Linked DNA regions of Saccharomyces cerevisiae S288C. The protein of the gene in region 3 binds, or shares a complex with, the protein of the main gene of each other region. Each region holds a gene or a part of one and is shown on either strand. Other genes may lie near its edges. A codon is read from its position in the direction of its gene.

Region 1 (6,578 bases), on a different chromosome or scaffold from region 3:
TAAATATATCCAGGGAATCGTCAAGAAGCCCTATAGCTCTGAATTACGAGGCAAGACAACAACATTCGCAACAACATTCATTCTCCACACCATCAACCGTGTCAAATCTCTCTACTTCTGTGCTCGGGCCACTGAGTGACACAAACGACATAAAAACACCGCACCCTGAAAGACCAAATCACAAGACAGCAAATAGAATACTCAAAAAGGAATCTCCTGTCGAGACATCAAAATCAAATCTTATACTTTCAAAGGTTGCATCCACTCGCCAAGAGGATTCTTTTACAAGCCGAAATGACGATCTGGACAAAGAACAAGGCTCTTCTCCATTAAACTCTAAGTTTGCGCCCGAAGAAATCGTGTTATCAGGTAAGAACAAGATTTATATTTGTAAGGAATGCCAAAGAAAGTTCTCTTCTGGTCACCATCTTACAAGACACAAAAAATCCGTCCACTCTGGTGAGAAACCTCATTCTTGTCCCAAATGTGGCAAAAGATTTAAAAGGAGAGATCACGTTCTGCAGCACTTGAATAAGAAAATACCGTGTATTTCAAACGAAACAACAGTAGATGCTCCAATAATGAACCCTACAGTGCAACCGCAGGACGGGAAAGCGGCCATTAATCAACAGAGTACACCTTTAAACTGACTCACGATTGCCAGTTGTTTACCGAGATCTCTCATTTTGAAGGCTCTTAAAATGTGCTCGGTCGGCCGGGAATTCGCGAAAACCCACATTCACTAATAAATACCATTACAATAACCATCATTATATAGATACACATGTGTAGAAAAGGATAATATACGTATATATATTTGTTTGTAAATCTTTAAATTTTCAGGAACAGGGTTAGCAAGCATCAATGAAAGCAGACGCGAAACAAATAACACATCTACTCAAACCTCTTCGACTTTTATTATTGGGGGCTCCAGGGTCAGGTAAAGGGACACAGACTTCGAGATTACTAAAGCAAATTCCACAATTATCTTCAATTTCGTCAGGCGACATTTTACGTCAGGAAATAAAATCTGAATCTACCCTAGGCCGAGAGGCTACTACCTACATTGCTCAAGGCAAGTTATTACCGGATGATCTCATAACGCGTCTGATAACTTTTCGTCTTTCGGCATTGGGTTGGTTAAAACCATCTGCCATGTGGTTGCTCGATGGATTTCCTCGAACTACTGCGCAAGCTTCTGCCTTAGACGAGCTGCTGAAACAGCATGACGCCAGCTTGAATCTAGTGGTAGAGCTAGATGTACCCGAATCCACCATATTAGAAAGGATCGAGAACAGATATGTTCACGTTCCTAGTGGGAGAGTGTATAACTTACAATATAATCCTCCCAAAGTGCCAGGATTAGACGATATCACCGGAGAACCATTGACCAAGAGGCTTGATGACACAGCGGAAGTGTTTAAAAAAAGGCTAGAAGAGTACAAGAAAACAAATGAGCCTTTAAAAGATTATTACAAAAAAAGTGGGATTTTTGGTACCGTCTCTGGGGAAACATCAGATATTATCTTCCGAAATTATTGAACCTTATAACCAGCAAATTCGGCTAATAGGGTGATTTAACGCTACACTAACTGCAAGTATATGTTAACCTTCCCCGAGACTTTGAAAAACCGTGACTCTAGTTGGAAGTCAGCATCTCGTCAACCAAATGATTACAGTTCACTTTGAATATTCTGAATAGCCTTTATGATATGAGTTAATCCTATATTAATCATGGCCGACGGCATTTAAGCGATGTATATGAAATTTATGAAAAATTAAAGTAGCGTACTTTATGCTACATAGCTTTTGAAAAGAAATCTCTGGTCTGTAAATAATAAATAAATATATATATATGTATATCTTAAAGTTGACAAAGTACTGTTAGCCATTCATAGAAATACTATATTTCATCTTGGGTTGAAGGTGATAATCGGCCCGATTTGACTACACTTTAAGAAGATTGGAAACAATGAAGTTTTATATAGATGATTTACCAGTGCTTTTTCCATACCCCAAGATATATCCAGAGCAGTATAATTATATGTGCGATATTAAAAAGACTCTGGATGTAGGTGGAAATAGTATCTTGGAGATGCCTTCAGGAACAGGTAAAACGGTCTCATTACTATCCCTCACAATTGCCTACCAGATGCACTACCCAGAACATAGAAAGATCATATATTGTTCTCGTACTATGTCTGAAATTGAAAAAGCTTTAGTAGAGTTAGAGAACCTTATGGATTACAGAACTAAAGAACTAGGCTATCAAGAGGATTTTCGAGGTCTTGGCTTGACATCAAGAAAAAATTTGTGTTTGCATCCCGAAGTGAGTAAGGAACGAAAAGGTACAGTAGTCGATGAAAAGTGCCGTAGAATGACAAATGGGCAGGCGAAGAGAAAATTAGAAGAGGATCCAGAGGCAAATGTAGAATTGTGTGAATACCATGAGAATTTGTACAATATTGAAGTAGAGGATTATCTTCCAAAAGGCGTATTTTCTTTTGAAAAACTTTTGAAATACTGCGAAGAAAAAACACTTTGTCCATATTTTATTGTTCGTCGTATGATTTCTCTTTGTAACATTATTATTTATTCTTACCATTATCTATTAGATCCTAAAATTGCTGAAAGAGTTTCCAACGAGGTTTCTAAAGATAGCATTGTCATTTTTGATGAAGCGCACAATATTGATAATGTGTGTATCGAATCGCTGTCATTAGACTTGACAACGGATGCATTGAGAAGAGCCACACGAGGTGCTAATGCGTTAGATGAACGTATTTCTGAGGTCAGAAAGGTTGACTCACAGAAATTACAGGATGAATACGAAAAACTAGTTCAAGGTCTCCATTCTGCAGATATTCTTACCGACCAGGAAGAGCCATTTGTGGAAACACCTGTATTGCCCCAAGATCTTCTAACAGAAGCAATCCCGGGAAATATACGAAGAGCCGAGCATTTTGTTTCATTTTTGAAAAGATTGATAGAATATCTGAAGACCAGAATGAAAGTTCTTCACGTTATTTCAGAAACGCCAAAATCATTTCTACAGCATTTAAAACAGTTAACTTTCATAGAAAGGAAACCTCTTCGGTTTTGCTCAGAAAGGCTATCATTACTTGTAAGAACTTTAGAAGTTACAGAGGTAGAAGATTTTACTGCATTGAAAGACATAGCAACTTTTGCTACTCTTATATCAACATATGAGGAAGGGTTTTTACTAATTATTGAACCGTATGAAATCGAAAATGCTGCAGTTCCGAATCCGATTATGAGATTTACTTGCTTAGATGCATCGATTGCCATCAAACCAGTCTTTGAGAGATTTTCTTCCGTTATTATCACTTCAGGGACCATATCACCATTAGACATGTATCCAAGAATGTTAAACTTTAAAACTGTTTTACAAAAATCATATGCCATGACCTTAGCCAAAAAATCATTTCTACCAATGATTATTACCAAGGGTTCTGATCAAGTTGCAATTTCTTCAAGATTTGAAATCAGAAACGATCCTAGTATTGTTCGTAATTACGGTTCTATGCTAGTAGAGTTTGCCAAGATCACACCTGATGGAATGGTTGTTTTTTTCCCCTCATATCTATATATGGAAAGTATTGTTTCAATGTGGCAAACAATGGGTATTCTTGACGAAGTTTGGAAACATAAATTAATTTTAGTTGAGACTCCTGATGCTCAAGAAACTTCTTTAGCCTTAGAAACCTATAGAAAGGCTTGCTCAAATGGGCGTGGGGCAATTTTGCTTTCTGTTGCTAGAGGAAAGGTATCTGAAGGTATCGATTTTGATCATCAATATGGCAGAACTGTGCTGATGATAGGTATCCCGTTTCAATACACAGAATCGCGTATTTTGAAAGCTCGCCTAGAATTCATGAGGGAGAACTATCGCATCAGAGAAAACGACTTCTTATCTTTCGATGCGATGAGACATGCAGCTCAATGTCTGGGGAGAGTACTGAGAGGGAAGGACGACTATGGTGTAATGGTACTAGCAGACCGTAGGTTTTCAAGAAAAAGAAGCCAGTTACCAAAATGGATTGCTCAAGGTTTGTCTGACGCCGATTTGAACCTTTCGACTGACATGGCCATATCCAATACCAAACAATTCTTGAGAACAATGGCACAACCCACAGACCCTAAAGACCAAGAGGGTGTATCTGTTTGGAGTTATGAAGATTTAATAAAGCACCAGAATAGCAGAAAAGATCAAGGTGGATTTATTGAAAACGAAAACAAAGAAGGAGAACAGGATGAAGATGAAGATGAAGATATAGAAATGCAGTGATGCAATGATACGCTTTTGCTATAAACTGTATATATCACAATTAGATTAAATAGCCGCAAGAGAATGTTATATATTGAAATCCATTCGATTATCCAGGACTAAACAATGATTTTATTTCACATTTATTTCAAAGGACAACTCTTTATCTGCGTCAAGATATGAATCACAGACACACCAAATTGTTAAGTTATGTTTACCAGATGTCGGAGTGTCAAATTCCAATTCATATTGCTGAGTCTCTTTATTTAAAGTAACTTTCTTGATCGCATAAAGCTCTTTTTTAGATACTTCACCTAAAACCAACCACCAACTTTCTAGCTTATCAAACGGATACTTTTCAGATGTTACTTGTAAGTTCTCAGGTTCAACATCTCTTGTCAATTGAATGGTAATTTTCTGTTTTACACCTGAAATTAACGAATCAGAATTATTCAACGAATAAGTAAGTTCAACGTTGGGGTAATTGTTAACAAACGCGGCGACCTGCGCAAGCTGTGAATCAGTAAGCGTTAAAATTTCATCCCTCTCTTCATCCTCAAGGGCCATTATATCATAGACCGTCTCGACGTTAATTTCTTTACATTTTTCCAAAATTTTGTTGTTGAAGTGTGGAATCTGTCTCAACGGATTATCAACGTCCCATACACCCTGAATCAACATCTGCGCCAAATCCATGGCGGTAGTAGCATTCAAATACCCGTTTGCTGAAAGGATATCAACCACTACGTTAATTAGTGGAACAACCTTTTCTAGAATGTCTTTTAAATCATTTTGAAAGTCGACAGGTAATTCAAGACGTGAAAAATATGCTTGTAACAATAAGAAAACTTTAAAGCTCACCGAACCAGAAGAGGTGTGTTCAGGGAATCTCAATGGTAGTCTTTTACTTAATTTGACAAGTAATGCTCTGTCTCCTTTTCTGAGTGGAACACTTTCGAATTCTACTGCTGTTGAAAGAACATACAGCATGTTTTTGAGCGTTGACGTATTCGATAAAGAAGAAACGAATGACTGAATAGTAAAAAATGATACGCCATAGTGAGAAGCAATTAGCCCGTTGCTCAAGGTAGAAATGATTTCAGTTGCTTCATCATCTCCTCCATTAACTTCTGCGGTTACTTCAGCTTCTGTATCGTCAATTTCAATGAAGGATGATTCAACTAAGTCATTCAAACAAGTTTCAACTAAATTACTCAAAAAAACTGAAATTCCATGTGGAGACGTATCCCTTACGCCATAATAGCTTGGATTCACATGGATACGACGATAGAAATACGAATATGTAAACCAGTCAACACAATCTTGTTTGCTTTGTATAATAGAATTTGCTATCTCGTTGTTCAGAGTATCATGAATAATATACTGTAGGTAACTCTCAGTAGGCAAAGGCTCAATTAAGAATTTTTTGTAGTAGGCCTTCATGTTGTGACTTGTCAAAATTAAAACCTTGCCTGCCATTGAATCGTTACCACTAGCTAGTCCCACCATTTCTAGAAGTTCATTTATGGTATATGGCATATATTTATGCTCTGCACCATCATAAAGGTTGGTTCCTAAAATAATCACTTCATCAGTTTTACAAGCGAATGCAGAACAATCCTTAGAAATGAGTAAAACCGATACCGCACCATATTCGTATAACCTTTTCACAATTCTTTCATCATTTGATGCCATCCCCTTATACAAAATACCAACACCGTGTTTTAAAGGTGCTCTTAGATGACCATCTGTTAACTTTTCAATGTATGGTACAATTTGCTCTTCTTCAACGTTCAACATATCCCATTCAATTGCTTTTGAAAACTTCATAAATGCAGACGCAACTTCCATACAATCCTTTCTAGATGGTAAGAACACCGAACTGGAATTACGATTTCCCGCTGCAGCAGCAGATGCTTCAAATGCCATTTGAAGCATCGAAAAATTGAATGATATGTGCTCAACATCTTTAAATGACTGAATATTAATTTCAAGAGGCTCAATTCTTTCGCTTGGAGAAAAGTTGTAGATGTTTGACTTCGTCATACCAGCCCATTCACCAAAATCACGAGCATTTGCCAAACAGTTCGAAAGGCAAACAAATCGAATTTTCTTTTCAAGTTGGGTTGCTATAAATATCATTCTAGAAATTAGCGTTTCATACACAGCACCGTAAACACCTTGGCTAATCTCATGAGCGTCATCATATATCATTAATTCTAAACTTTGGATGTTCTTCCTTTGTCTCCAACGACGTGACAAAAGCTCAAATTGCACGGGGGTAGCCAAG
Region 2 (6,135 bases), on a different chromosome or scaffold from region 3:
TGGCTGACCTTGAAGTCCGAACCGGAGCCGGTTGTGACACAGGATTGGATGGAGATGATGGTATTTGATGAAATTTGGAAGATGGAAGCAAGGAATTTATTGGAATCTCGTTTTTAATCCGATTAGATGCATCTGACTTATCTATCGTATCCGTGGAATTGGATATCATTGTTTCCACTGTTCTCTTTTTTGGGGGCCTGCCTCTTTTTCTTTTGATTTGAATTAAGTTGTTCGGCGTAACAGGTGTTGGTGTGATGGAGCTAGAATTAGCAGTGGATGGTCGCTCTTTACCATTTTCATTGTTCGTTCTTTGCGGTACGGAAGTCAAGGACATATCAGCATCATCTCTTGATGATGAAGGGGCAGATAATAAAAGCGACTCTTGTTTCGTTGATGGTTCCACAAAATACCTTTTGGATTTAGACGTTTGTACTACGGCAGTCGGTAAAGTAATATTTACTGGTGAGAAAGGAGCACCCTGATTGGATGCACTTTTGAGATTGACCGAGGCTGCGTTTGACACTAACTTATTCATTGTGGAGGTCGAGGCATCTTTTCTTGGCCTGCCAGGTCCCCTTCGAGAAGAAGAGGTATTATGCTGTGAACTGGTATTGTTGGATGAATTTTCTATGAGAAGGTTAGAGTGATTTACTTTCGAAGTATTTTGCAACATTGTCGATAATTTGTTCAATCGTTCATTCAAATTATTGACCAATATGTCAGTATTTACTTGATTCTTCATGACATCATCCAGCTTATTTTCCAAAACTGATTGGTTGTGTGATAAAACTTTTAATGAGTTAAACAAATCCTGCACAGAATCAGTGAGGGAAGTGTCTTTGGAAAGCAAAGCCGTCTTCAAATCGTTGCATTGTTTTGTGACTTTGTCCATACCCTCTTTTAGGGCTTCAATAGATGAATGTGGAAAGGCCTCGGAATCTTTTATATGAAGCGGATTTGAACCAAAACCAGAGCCAACTTGTCGTTTTATATCAGAATCATCACTGACTGGTATGTCTGTGATGGATGGCAAAGCTTTAGCGTTCGCATCTGTATCTAGCTTCCTCAAACTATTAGCTTGATTTTGAGCACTGGTAAGTGCTAACGTATCTACGTCATCTTTGGGTCCAGACGGAAGTCTCTGTTCATTGGTTATGTTATCAGAAGGGGCTGTGGTGTTCTCAGACATCCCCGCAACAAACGAATTTTGTTAATTATGTATGAAACTTTTCGTTTGATCTCAATAATACCACTAGCGACTAAATTTTTATGATACTTAGCTACTTTAAACAAGTCCCTTGTGCTCTGTTTGCTGACACTTTTGATAAAATATGCCTGTGTATAATTCTTTTAGCAGTTTATTTCAAACACAAATGGTATTAAAAGGATAGATGAAAAAAAAAAAAAAATTAAAGCCACTAGTAATGATACAATCGTGGTATCACAAGCGCTGAATGAAACAAGTGTGGCTATCTATAGCGGATGCAAGTGGAGAACTTGTGAATCCAAACTGAAATATTTTGCCATCATTTGTTGTCCTTTCCCTTTTCCATTCAGGAAAAAAAAAAAAAATTTGACGTCGCCGTCGCGTCGCAGTCATATAATTACAGCAATTTATCTTGTTGAACGACGCAAATTAATGGAAATTGTGACTTACATAGTAAGTATTAGTAAACGTAGTTAAGGCCACGTGGGAAAGATATGAAAGGAGTGTAAGTAATGGATATCGGTCTAACGAAAATGGAAACCAATCTTTAAAAATGATAGTATGATTCGACAGTAAACTAGAAAAGCCACAACCCGTGGGACATGATAAGGCTGCTCGTTTTTGACGCAATTTTTAGACAATACTGAAATTTAGCATAATAAGCTTTCCCAGTGAAAGTAATAATATTTAACCTAGGGTAGGGGTAGGGAAAAAATAAAAGTAAACCATAATGTCACATTCCGGAGCTGCCATTTTTGAGAAAGTTTCTGGGATAATTGCCATAAATGAGGATGTTTCACCCGCAGAATTGACATGGAGGTCTACGGACGGTGACAAGGTTCACACAGTTGTCTTATCCACTATTGACAAGTTACAAGCTACCCCTGCTTCCAGTGAAAAAATGATGTTGAGGCTAATCGGGAAAGTGGATGAGTCAAAAAAGAGAAAAGACAACGAAGGAAATGAGGTTGTGCCCAAACCGCAACGTCATATGTTTTCGTTTAACAATAGAACAGTTATGGATAATATCAAGATGACCCTTCAACAAATCATCTCACGGTATAAAGATGCAGATATCTACGAAGAAAAGAGAAGAAGAGAGGAGTCTGCGCAACACACAGAAACACCAATGAGCTCTTCTTCTGTTACTGCAGGGACTCCCACACCACATCTCGATACACCACAATTGAATAATGGGGCTCCGTTGATTAATACAGCCAAACTAGATGATTCTCTCTCTAAAGAAAAATTGTTGACCAATTTAAAGCTACAGCAATCTTTACTGAAAGGAAACAAAGTTCTAATGAAGGTTTTTCAGGAAACAGTCATTAACGCCGGTTTGCCTCCATCTGAATTTTGGTCAACTAGAATTCCGTTATTGAGGGCTTTTGCCTTATCTACTTCTCAAAAAGTTGGGCCTTACAACGTTTTGTCAACTATCAAGCCGGTGGCTTCATCGGAAAACAAAGTCAATGTTAATTTGTCAAGAGAAAAAATTTTGAATATTTTTGAGAACTATCCAATTGTAAAGAAAGCTTACACTGATAATGTGCCCAAAAATTTCAAAGAACCAGAGTTCTGGGCAAGGTTCTTCTCTTCGAAGTTATTCAGAAAATTAAGGGGTGAAAAGATCATGCAAAATGATAGAGGTGACGTAATCATTGACAGGTACTTGACATTGGATCAAGAGTTCGACAGAAAAGATGATGACATGCTATTGCATCCTGTGAAAAAAATTATAGATTTAGATGGTAACATACAGGACGACCCAGTTGTACGAGGCAACAGGCCCGACTTCACTATGCAGCCAGGTGTGGATATTAATGGTAATAGCGATGGTACCGTGGACATCTTAAAGGGTATGAATAGATTGAGTGAAAAAATGATTATGGCTTTGAAGAATGAGTATTCAAGGACAAATCTACAGAACAAATCTAATATTACAAACGATGAGGAAGATGAAGATAATGATGAAAGAAATGAACTGAAAATCGATGACTTAAACGAAAGCTACAAGACAAACTATGCAATCATACATCTGAAAAGGAACGCACATGAAAAGACAACCGACAACGATGCGAAAAGCTCGGCAGACTCGATAAAGAATGCAGATTTGAAGGTTTCTAATCAACAAATGTTACAACAGTTGTCATTGGTCATGGATAATTTAATTAATAAGCTAGACTTGAACCAAGTAGTTCCTAACAACGAAGTCAGCAACAAGATCAATAAAAGAGTCATAACTGCAATCAAGATTAACGCCAAACAGGCTAAGCATAACAATGTTAATTCAGCACTCGGCTCTTTTGTCGACAACACTTCTCAAGCAAATGAATTAGAGGTGAAAAGTACCCTACCAATAGACCTATTAGAAAGTTGTAGAATGCTACACACAACGTGCTGTGAATTTCTAAAGCACTTTTATATTCATTTTCAGAGCGGTGAACAAAAGCAAGCCAGTACCGTCAAAAAACTTTATAATCATTTGAAGGACTGTATTGAAAAGCTGAATGAGCTATTTCAAGACGTCCTTAATGGTGATGGTGAATCTATGTCAAACACATGTACCGCCTATTTGAAGCCAGTTTTGAACTCCATTACTTTGGCTACTCATAAGTACGATGAGTACTTCAACGAATATAACAACAATTCGAACTAGAAATATAAAGGCTCTCCAGTTGTTACCACTTTTTACATTCATATTTTTCATCTATTTACTGCATGTTACATATTACATAAAACTTAATTGTGTGTATTCTTCCTTTTTGGTCTTTAGTCTCTATGTAAACAATAGAAAAACGCGGGACTCGATTAACGCTGTGCTGCACTGATGCAGCCGTGCGTGTAAATAAAACATTTAACGTGAAAACGCGCGCGAATGGCTTGTGAAACAAACAAGAAACAAACGGGAAATATTTCAGCATGTGATGTGGCTGAAAATTAGCAAACGATTCGTCAAAATAAATCAGTAATGGTGCTTTAGTTCTATTACAGCTTGCTAATGGTTCAGTAATATTTTCAAAAATTTTGCCAAACAGACCTAAGCACTTGCAATACTCCAGACTGTTAGTTCAGTCATTATCTATCATCTTGGACGATTTTGCAATTTTTTAGTGTAGATGCATCTCATCGACGGGCTTGTATGAATGATATTAAATAGGCAAAATAAACTAGTCTAGCTAATATTCGACTAAATTGCAGCTGCTAGGTCACCATCCCGCACATACCTTAGATATTTTGGAACTAATGGCTAAAAGAAGGCAGAAAAAGAGAACGCATGCGCAGATCACACCCGAGCAGGAACGAGATATTCCTAAATCCATGGTAATCAGAGTGGGACAAACTTCATTGGCTAACCATTCTCTAAACCAATTAGTAAAGGATTTTCGCCAGATCATGCAACCGCATACGGCCGTAAAACTAAAAGAGCGCAAGTCCAATAAACTGAAGGATTTTGTTGTTATGTGTGGCCCATTAGGTGTTACGCATCTTTTCATGTTCACTCAATCTGAAAAAACAGGAAATGTCTCGCTAAAGATAGCTAGAACTCCACAAGGTCCTACTGTTACTTTTCAAGTATTGGACTATTCACTGGGTAGAGATATCAAAAAATTTTTGAAGAGACCTAAATCGTTAAATAATGATGATGTATTAAATCCTCCATTGCTAGTGTTAAATGGGTTTTCCACATCGAAAAGATCTGATGAAGACGATCAGGATGTAAACGTGGAGAAGGTTATTGTTTCCATGTTCCAGAATATTTTCCCACCTCTGAATCCTGCAAGAACTTCGTTGAATTCTATCAAACGTATATTTATGATCAATAAAGACAGAGAAACGGGGGAAATTTCTATGCGCCACTATTTTATTGACATTCGAGAAGTAGAGATCTCTAGAAATCTAAAAAGGCTTTATAAAGCCAAAAATAATCTAAGTAAAACAGTGCCGAATTTGCATCGAAAAGAAGATATTTCTTCTTTGATATTAGATCATGACTTAGGCGCCTATACATCAGAATCTGAAATTGAAGATGACGCTATTGTGAGAGTGGTTGATAATCAGGACGTGAAGGCAAAACATTCTCAAACTTCGCTGTCGCAAAAAACACCCGTTAAAATGACAGATAACGAAGAACGTGAAAAAGGAATTGAAGAAGAAGATGTGGAAATGGAGGAACCTAAGCCTTCAGAAAATTCGCAACCAACTCCACGTAAGAAGGCTATCAAACTGACTGAATTAGGACCAAGATTAACTCTAAAACTGGTCAAAATAGAAGATGGTATTTGTTCAGGTAAAGTATTACATCATGAATTTGTTCAAAAATCAAGCGAAGAAATCAAAGCCTTAGAAAAGAGACACGCTGCAAAAATGAGGCTGAAGGAACAAAGAAGAAAGGAACAAGAAGAAAACATTGCTAAAAAAAAGGCTGTTAAAGATGCTAAAAAGCAACGTAAATTGGAAAGAAGAAAAGCTAGAGCAGAAGAACAGGGTGAAGGTCAAGGGAAAGATGGTGCAATGAGCGATGATGGATCTTCATCGAGTGAAGATGAGCATTATAGTGATGTACCAGAGGATTTGGATAGTGACTTATTCAGTGAAGTAGAATAATGCACGATATGTATATATATCCTCCGTACGTAACATCACTATCCATATAGTAGCCATGACTCCGATGGACTTAAAGAACCAGGAAGTGTCTGTTTATTCATAGGTGAGGGAACACCTCAAAGTAAATATTAATGAATATATAAGATCATAATTAAACAAATATATAGAAATCTTTTACAATTAAAGAAAAAAATAAAAGAAAAGGGAAGTTAAAACTTCGATTATTAACAGCTGAAAAATTAAACTTTGTAATGAAAAGCAAATTGGGAGTTATCGTTAAAATACGGCATCATGGAAAGGACAAAAGTTCCTTTTAACAA
Region 3 (7,029 bases):
GAGCAGGTTTTTTCAGAAACTGAGTTCGACTCGATGGCGAGAAATTAACGATAATGCTTCCATTGCAATAGGCCTCTACGCACCTAAATTTGACAATCAAGCCGACAATACCAGTAGTAACAACACTAACGATAATAGTTGTCGAAGTAAGAGTAACGGTGCTGGAAGTGGCGCCAACCTTTCCGTTAATAGCAATACCAAGAGTTCAGTGAGCCCCACAGCAGGATCATTTGGTCTTTCAAAAGACCTTGCAAAGGACAGGAATGTTCTCCAGCATCCTAAACCTACGCAGAAAAGAGGAGCATTATACGACGCCTTTGCCGCCGTGCCGACAGTGGCCGCGACTACCAATGTGGATTTTCCTCCCAACGAGGCGCCAATGCTAAGCCCGCAAAGACCATACTCTACTAGTCCTAAACAGTTTCCAGCAACAACTAAAAGTCCGTTACTGCGATTTGCCTCAGTCTCACCCTACCCTAAATTTCATTCTGATAATCAAATTATGGCATCAGCTGGTCTTACATACGTCTCACCGCATAATAAAAATAAATACACAAGGCCGTTGATTAGAAAAGGTTTAAATTTTACCACAGAATCAGTTAATGATTGCACTTATAAAATCATCTTTGAACCGGATGAATTGGCTATTAACATATATAAGGAACTATTCGGAACCATGGGTTCCCAACCTGCATCGCAGCCTTTGCTGATATTTTCGAATGTTAATTTACGCCAGGATGTACCGCCTTTAGATATCTTAAATGTTGTAGACTATGTTCCTACGAATGAAGAAATTTCGCAGCAGAAAACTCAACCAACAGACCATGGGGCCGTTGGTGTTTTTCATCTAGACGACCATATTTCTCCGGGCGAACAAGGTCTTAAGCAAACAATTGGTGATAAAGCAGATCTTAAAGGTAAAGATGGCAATAGCAGCCCTCAGGAATTTAAATTAATAACTGATGAAGAGCAATTGAGAAGAGCGTCACAAGAACTGAAGGATGAGGAAAAGGATGCCGAGTCTCCTTGGCAAGCAATCTTGCTGTTACCAAAAGGTTATAAAGGAGGGGTAGATTTTCGAAATAAACCAGTGGCCCACACGGATTCATCTTTCAATAATGAAGACACAATTACTCATTCAGAGTTAGAAGTGAACACCGGATCCCCTTCGCAAGAAAGCGGATCACTTAATGAAGCTGGTATAGGCATAACGCAACCCATGTCGGAAGTACAAAGAAGAAAAGAAGACGTTACGCCCGCATCACCAATATTAACAAGTAGTCAAACGCCGCATTACTCAAACTCGCTTTATAACGCACCTTTTGCTGTTTCCTCTCCACCAGATCCTTTACCAAACCTTTTTACCACCACAAGTGAAAAAGTTTTCCCCAAAATTAATGTTTTAATAGTTGAAGACAACGTCATCAACCAAGCTATCTTAGGTTCCTTTCTGAGGAAACACAAAATCTCATATAAACTGGCTAAAAATGGTCAAGAAGCTGTTAATATTTGGAAGGAAGGCGGTCTTCATTTAATATTTATGGATTTACAGCTGCCTGTCTTGTCTGGTATAGAAGCTGCCAAGCAGATTAGGGACTTCGAAAAACAAAATGGCATTGGCATTCAAAAAAGTCTCAATAACTCACACTCCAATCTTGAAAAAGGTACTTCAAAGAGATTCTCTCAGGCGCCCGTGATTATTGTAGCATTGACCGCATCTAACTCTCAGATGGATAAAAGAAAAGCACTTCTTTCTGGTTGTAACGACTACCTGACTAAACCAGTGAATTTACACTGGCTTAGTAAGAAAATTACAGAGTGGGGATGTATGCAAGCCTTGATTGATTTTGACAGCTGGAAGCAGGGAGAAAGCCGGATGACCGACAGTGTTTTGGTTAAATCTCCACAGAAACCTATTGCACCTTCCAACCCTCACTCATTCAAACAAGCGACATCTATGACCCCTACACACAGCCCAGTAAGAAAAAATTCAAACCTCTCGCCCACTCAAATAGAATTGTGAGTTTGGTTGTACCGTGTAGAGGACATTATGATAGAATGTAACGATATTTATTCAAAATAATTATTAATATTATTGTAAAACAAAGAATTTTTTTTTTTTTTTTAGTTGAATAAGTGCCTGATAAATTGAAAATAGTAATAAATATTCTTAATGCCGTAAGTGCTATTAAGATTTTCTCGTAATAAACAATAGGACATTAAATGAGGTTATTTTTGTAATAATTATGTAGTTATATGTCCATCAAAAACTATTTCGTTCTCTACTACTTGGATTTGTTATATGATGGAAGAGTGATCGTGTTATACGCTGACAGATTTTCGTTAAGTTATTACGGGCTTGGATTCACAGCCTGGGCAGTTATGAAGGATTTCATGGATGAACACATCGCAGTCAACACAAAATTCTTGTTTACAATCTTCACAACGATAGCGAGAACTTGTCAGTAGTTTACCATTTTTATGGTTTTTCAGTATGGGAAATCTTGACTGGCAACTAAAGCAGTCTTCTGATCGAAATTTTTCTGTTGTAGGTACTTCTGCAAATGTTTTTAACGGCATCAGATGGTGATATGATCTGGCCAGGTGGGTAGAAAGGATTAGCATCAAGTCACAACATGGACAGACTGTGGGCAATGAACAAACTTTACTATGACAATTGGGACAGAAGTATCCGCCGTAAACTAACTTGGAATGGCACGAACAAAAAGTTGGAGTATCTTCGAATATCCTTGTCGGAAACCCCATCTTTACGAGTGTGAAACCCTTATTAATTTTGTTAACGGGTAAAGGGGTAACAGCCTCGTTAAATAGCTCCTTTAAGTGAGTTTCATCGAGTAAAATTTTATAGAAGGATTCATCACCATAATTCGTTGCCTTGCATAATTCTTTACATATGGCCACTTGAGCTGATAACCCCAAAACCTTCACTCTAATTTTCTCAGAAACTAACGAATCGATAGTTTGGTGAATATCTCCAGGATCAGTTGTGGAAAGACTACCAAATACAATCAGTACTTCCCTTGTACAATGCGCAGGAACAGGCAATAAAAGGCCTCTTGCCATTTCCAATGCATTTTGCAATGAAGGGTTTCCTTTCGGTTCTTGTTTCCTGATGGATTTCAACGCATCAATGTGATCCTGCGGGTTTCCGCTAACTTGGCTGACCAGTTGTGCCAAACCGTTTCTCATTATGATAATACCCATTTGAGATATCGGATTTTGGTCGAAAAATTCATGGACAAAATCTATGGCGTACTGGATAATCATGGCATGCCTGTTTGGTCTCAAATCCTTTTCCAACATAGCTTCACTACAATCTAGTGTTAATATTAAACTTCTGATAATACCTCTTTGGTATGGCGTTATGTTTTTCTTAGCAGTACGTTTCTTTCTGGCCTCGACTATGCTAGCCACAAGAGATGCCATATCCCCTTCATCGTCCACTTTCACCAAATCCCAACTTCTCTTGATCTCATCCTCCCAAGCGTACCCACCATTTGAACCTTGCAGGTTTCTATTCGAGAGCCTTTTCTTCTTCTTACGCTGCACATGTTTATCCCTATCCCTGTGGCTTGAACTGTGCTGCTGTTGCTGTTGGTCTACACGATCATCTCCCTCGCCATCAAAATGAACTTGTCTCTTAGTTCTTCTAGTAATGGCAACTCTATCCTCATCCTCTTCAGATTCTGAAATAACTACAGGAGCCATTCTACTGCACAATCCTTCCGCACACACGCAATTAGCTGCCGACTTGCCCCACTAGTAATCACCTGCATCTATATAAGATAAGATGAAGACCTTTTACGTATCTTGAAAAACTATACAATAGCAAAGAAACCTACCACCCAGACCCTGTGCGGAGTATCTCGAACTTCCAGTATATTACTCTCAAGTAGATGACGCGTAATAGACAGGTTTTATTGGCAAATTTCGAGTCGCTATCATTATCAACATTAATTATAGGGTGGTGTTTGGTTGGTTCGAGTGCCGTCATAACTATTTGTTTTTTTTGCATATCTGGTTGATCCTCCTTAGTTAATATAGTCTCTTTGAGTTTCCCTTAAGGAACTGTCATTTGGTCCGGCGGAAAACATGGTGGTGACAGACAGCCTTTTCAGAGGTGATGAGCAATCTCGATGAGCATCTCAGCGGGTGCATATATACACGTATATAAGATAGTTCAAAGTATGATAGATTAAAGTTTACTTTGTTGTTGCTGAGAAGTAGTGAGAGTGTCAGCAAATCAATACAATGAAAAACATGTCACAACGATCCATGGACGTGGAGAAGAAGGCAGCTAACGCTGATAGTTGTTCCGTAAGTACCTCGAGCATTAATGTAGACGATGCGGACGTTGCTTTAAGATTCCTGAAACAGAACGGTCTCGACGAAAGCTCCACGGCTAATGAAGACGATGTTGTAGCAGGCGAAGAAGCCAACTTCTATGGTTCCCATGAATTATCTCCTAAGGTCCTGAGAAAAGTTGACCTCTTCATCCTGCCCTTTTTATGCTGTACATATCTTCTGATGTTTTTGGATAAGGCTCTGCTGAACTACGCTGCATCTATGGGTATCAAAGATCATTTGAAAGGTAACGAATTTTCTAATTTGGGTACTATCTTTTCTGCTGCTTACATTTTCATGGAACCTGTGGTCACTTACTTAATTCAAAAATTCCCCATTTCCAAAATCCTAGGTACTTTTATTACCGTCTGGGGTATCGTGTTGGCTTGCCATGCTGCTTGTAAGACGTACGCCTCGTTGATGGTCGTTCGTACTCTCCTAGGTCTCTTTGAATCCTCGAGTGCAGTTGGTTGTATCGCTATTAGTGGTATGTACTATACTAAATCTGAACAGAGTGCAAGAATTGGATTCTGGGCCACACAGGCTGGTACAGGTTATATTGTGGGCGGGTTAATTTCTTTTGGCTTTTTACATTATCATGGTACCGCTTTCACCTCTTGGCAAATAATGTTTTTGGTCGTTGGTCTGGTTACAGTTGCGTTTGGTGTTCTAACATTCTTATACCTTCCAGATAACGTCACCAATGCTTGGTTCCTAAACAAAGAGGAAAAAATTCAAGTTGTTGAGCATATCAGAGCTAACCAAACTGGCCTGGAAACAAAGAAGTTTAAGAAGCAGCAAGTTAAAGAACTATTCCTTCATGATAAGTTTACTTGGCCGATGCTTTTATTAACTGCATGTTCTCAAATTTCTACTGGTGCCATTGGTACATTTTCAGTGACCATCACTGGTACTTTTGGTTTCGACAAGTACGAAACAGCATTACTGCAGTTGCCTATTGGTGCCATTACGGCTATGATTATTCTTATAACAACTCAAATGTTGTCCCGCTGGGGTCATATCACACTCATAACCACATCTATGTATATTCCAGCTATTATAGGTTGTATCGTTCTTATCAGTTTACCCTTATCCCATAAGATCGGTAACTTATTTTCTCTGTACTTGCTTTACAGTGGTTCCTGTGTCATTACCAATATTTACATCTGGAATTCATGCAACACCTCCGGTTACACCAAAAGAGTTTTTAGAAATGCTATTACAATGATTGTATACAATGTCTCCTGTATTATTGCTCCACAGATGTTTAGGGCATACTCTGCTCCACGTTACATACCAGCAAAGATTGCCTTATTGGTCACTCAGTGTGTTTGTGTTCCCCTACAATTATACATTGGCTACATTTGCAAGAAGGAGAACGAAAAGCGTGATAAGGAACAAGAAGGTCAAGAAAGGAAGAAGTACCAATTTTTGGACTTGACTGATATCGAAAACAGAAATTTCAGGTACATTTACTAATAATCAACTTTTAATTTACAATATATAATATTTTTAGTCTGTAATATTCAATATTCAAAGACACCCAAACATTCATTGCACTTGGTATTTACCAAAAAATTGAAGAGAAAATTTTTGAGATGACCATGGATGAGGCAATGAAAGTCGAAATTTGATCCCCGCTACTAACTTCTAAACATATCGTCAGGACAATTGAGCTGAAAATGTCTAATCCAGATGATTTAGATGATGGACTCGCCTATGATTTTGATGCCGAACATGAAGTAATTTTTGACGCCAAGGATGGTAGTCCCCCAACCAAAAAGGTACAAAAGAGGTCTATAGAACAAGATGACGATGACGTTGATGATATAGATGGGAAAAAAGAGGAGAGAAATTCAGAAGATGATTCGAATAGACCTATTTCGAAAAGACAGAAAAAGCTACAGAAAAAATCAAAGCTAATTGAGAAAAAGAAAGAGGAAAGCCAGTATATCGTCTCACAACGAAAAGCACTTCCAGCAAGTTCACCAGAAAAAATTATTGAGTACCTAACAACTTTGATACGAGAAAAAAATCCTGACTTGAGTGTTTTAGAATTAGAGGAACTTTACTTCAAAAGAAATGATTTTCTTTCGACAGAAAAATTTGACGCTGAACGCAGATTAAGCAATTTCCCAGCCTTTATTCAAAAATTTTCCGTAGCTCCAAAAAAAATTGTTTTTTCTATGTCTAATATTAGAGTAGCAGACGTTTATCGTAGTCTAAACGGTGGCAAAAATTGCGTCAAATTATTCTCTAAAAGTAAACTAAAGGATGACATAGCCACCGTGGAACGTTTACTTACTGACAGCTCTAAAAAATCAAACAAAAATAAAGATTCACTATATTTTATTGCCACTCCAACAAGAATGCAGAAAATTATAGAAGCTACTGACTTACTTTTCCAAGGTAAGGAAAAGTTAGATATCATTCTTGATGCAAGTTATTTAGATCCTAAGGATAATACTATATTATCATTCGAGAATGCAGCCGTCCTCTGCCAAGTCTTGAAAACCTTTTTGAATAAAAAAAGCTCCGTGAAAATACTGTTATATTAATAATAGCGCTTTTTCACTGAGGTTCTACACATAAGATTACGTTTTTAAATACCAGCCTTAATTTAGTATATTAAATATTTCATTCTAGCATTTGATGGGGTACTTC

What was found. Proteins that work in one complex are often made in the same cells at the same time.
Region 1: the proteins of SSL1 (region 3) and RAD3 are in contact, whole or in part, in a cryo-EM structure (PDB 7K01), measured with the Saccharomyces cerevisiae proteins. Residues at the interface, in NP_013105.1 of Saccharomyces cerevisiae: Glu134 (codon at 3,330), Asn207 (codon at 3,111), Leu239 (codon at 3,015), Ser240 (codon at 3,012), Thr241 (codon at 3,009), Thr242 (codon at 3,006), Asp243 (codon at 3,003), Ile247 (codon at 2,991), His248 (codon at 2,988), Ser267 (codon at 2,931), Ala268 (codon at 2,928), Gln269 (codon at 2,925), Val270 (codon at 2,922), Ala271 (codon at 2,919), Ile272 (codon at 2,916), Ile290 (codon at 2,862), Leu292 (codon at 2,856), Asp293 (codon at 2,853), His296 (codon at 2,844); in NP_011098.3 of Saccharomyces cerevisiae: Ile532 (codon at 3,566), Pro534 (codon at 3,572), Asp535 (codon at 3,575), Lys565 (codon at 3,665), His566 (codon at 3,668), Ser591 (codon at 3,743), Asn592 (codon at 3,746), Gly593 (codon at 3,749), Arg594 (codon at 3,752), Gln615 (codon at 3,815), Tyr676 (codon at 3,998), Lys718 (codon at 4,124), Arg722 (codon at 4,136), Ala725 (codon at 4,145), Gln726 (codon at 4,148).
Region 2: the proteins of SSL1 (region 3) and TFB1 are in contact, whole or in part, in a cryo-EM structure (PDB 7K01), measured with the Saccharomyces cerevisiae proteins. Residues at the interface, in NP_013105.1 of Saccharomyces cerevisiae: Gly177 (codon at 3,201), Leu178 (codon at 3,198), Ala179 (codon at 3,195), Gln184 (codon at 3,180), Asn207 (codon at 3,111), Asn212 (codon at 3,096), Met216 (codon at 3,084), Gly219 (codon at 3,075), Leu220 (codon at 3,072), Leu222 (codon at 3,066), Pro223 (codon at 3,063), Thr242 (codon at 3,006), Asp243 (codon at 3,003), Pro244 (codon at 3,000), Gly245 (codon at 2,997), Asp246 (codon at 2,994), Pro333 (codon at 2,733), Thr334 (codon at 2,730), Phe335 (codon at 2,727), Cys336 (codon at 2,724), Ser337 (codon at 2,721), Ser340 (codon at 2,712), Lys341 (codon at 2,709), Asn351 (codon at 2,679), Cys352 (codon at 2,676), His353 (codon at 2,673), Ser354 (codon at 2,670), Pro364 (codon at 2,640), Cys365 (codon at 2,637), Cys366 (codon at 2,634); in NP_010597.3 of Saccharomyces cerevisiae: Pro215 (codon at 2,580), Arg218 (codon at 2,589), Ala219 (codon at 2,592), Leu222 (codon at 2,601), Ser223 (codon at 2,604), Gln226 (codon at 2,613), Lys227 (codon at 2,616), Val228 (codon at 2,619), Gly229 (codon at 2,622), Pro230 (codon at 2,625), Tyr231 (codon at 2,628), Asn232 (codon at 2,631), Leu389 (codon at 3,102), Glu548 (codon at 3,579), Arg551 (codon at 3,588), Thr555 (codon at 3,600), Cys558 (codon at 3,609), Glu559 (codon at 3,612), Lys562 (codon at 3,621), Ala614 (codon at 3,777), Tyr615 (codon at 3,780), Pro618 (codon at 3,789), Ser622 (codon at 3,801), Lys629 (codon at 3,822).

Annotation. Positions count from the first base shown.
Region 1 is NC_001137.3:525,110-531,687, forward strand, and holds RAD3 (TFIIH/NER complex ATP-dependent 5'-3' DNA helicase subunit RAD3), read left to right. Parts: upstream 1-1,972; coding exon 1,973-4,309; downstream 4,310-6,578. Other genes in the region: RPH1 (Rph1p), read left to right, coding at 1-650; adenylate kinase ADK2, read left to right, coding at 865-1,542; ATP-dependent RNA helicase BRR2, read right to left, coding at 4,421-6,578. UniProt on the Saccharomyces cerevisiae protein: ATP-dependent 5'-3' DNA helicase.
Region 2 is NC_001136.10:1,083,128-1,089,262, forward strand, and holds TFB1 (TFIIH/NER complex subunit TFB1), read left to right. Parts: upstream 1-1,937; coding exon 1,938-3,866; downstream 3,867-6,135. Other genes in the region: SUM1 (Sum1p), read right to left, coding at 1-1,189; SSF2 (rRNA-binding ribosome biosynthesis protein), read left to right, coding at 4,454-5,815; PIB1 (phosphatidylinositol-3-phosphate-binding ubiquitin-protein ligase), read right to left, coding at 6,092-6,135. UniProt on the Saccharomyces cerevisiae protein: Component of the general transcription and DNA repair factor IIH (TFIIH) core complex, which is involved in general and transcription-coupled nucleotide excision repair (NER) of damaged DNA and, when complexed to TFIIK, in RNA transcription by RNA polymerase II.
Region 3 is NC_001144.5:156,749-163,777, reverse strand, and holds SSL1 (TFIIH/NER complex subunit SSL1), read right to left. Parts: upstream 3,730-7,029; coding exon 2,344-3,729; downstream 1-2,343. Other genes in the region: mitogen-activated protein kinase kinase kinase SSK1, read left to right, coding at 1-2,023; THI73 (Thi73p), read left to right, coding at 4,273-5,844; CMS1 (Cms1p), read left to right, coding at 6,048-6,923. UniProt on the Saccharomyces cerevisiae protein: Component of the general transcription and DNA repair factor IIH (TFIIH) core complex, which is involved in general and transcription-coupled nucleotide excision repair (NER) of damaged DNA and, when complexed to TFIIK, in RNA transcription by RNA polymerase II.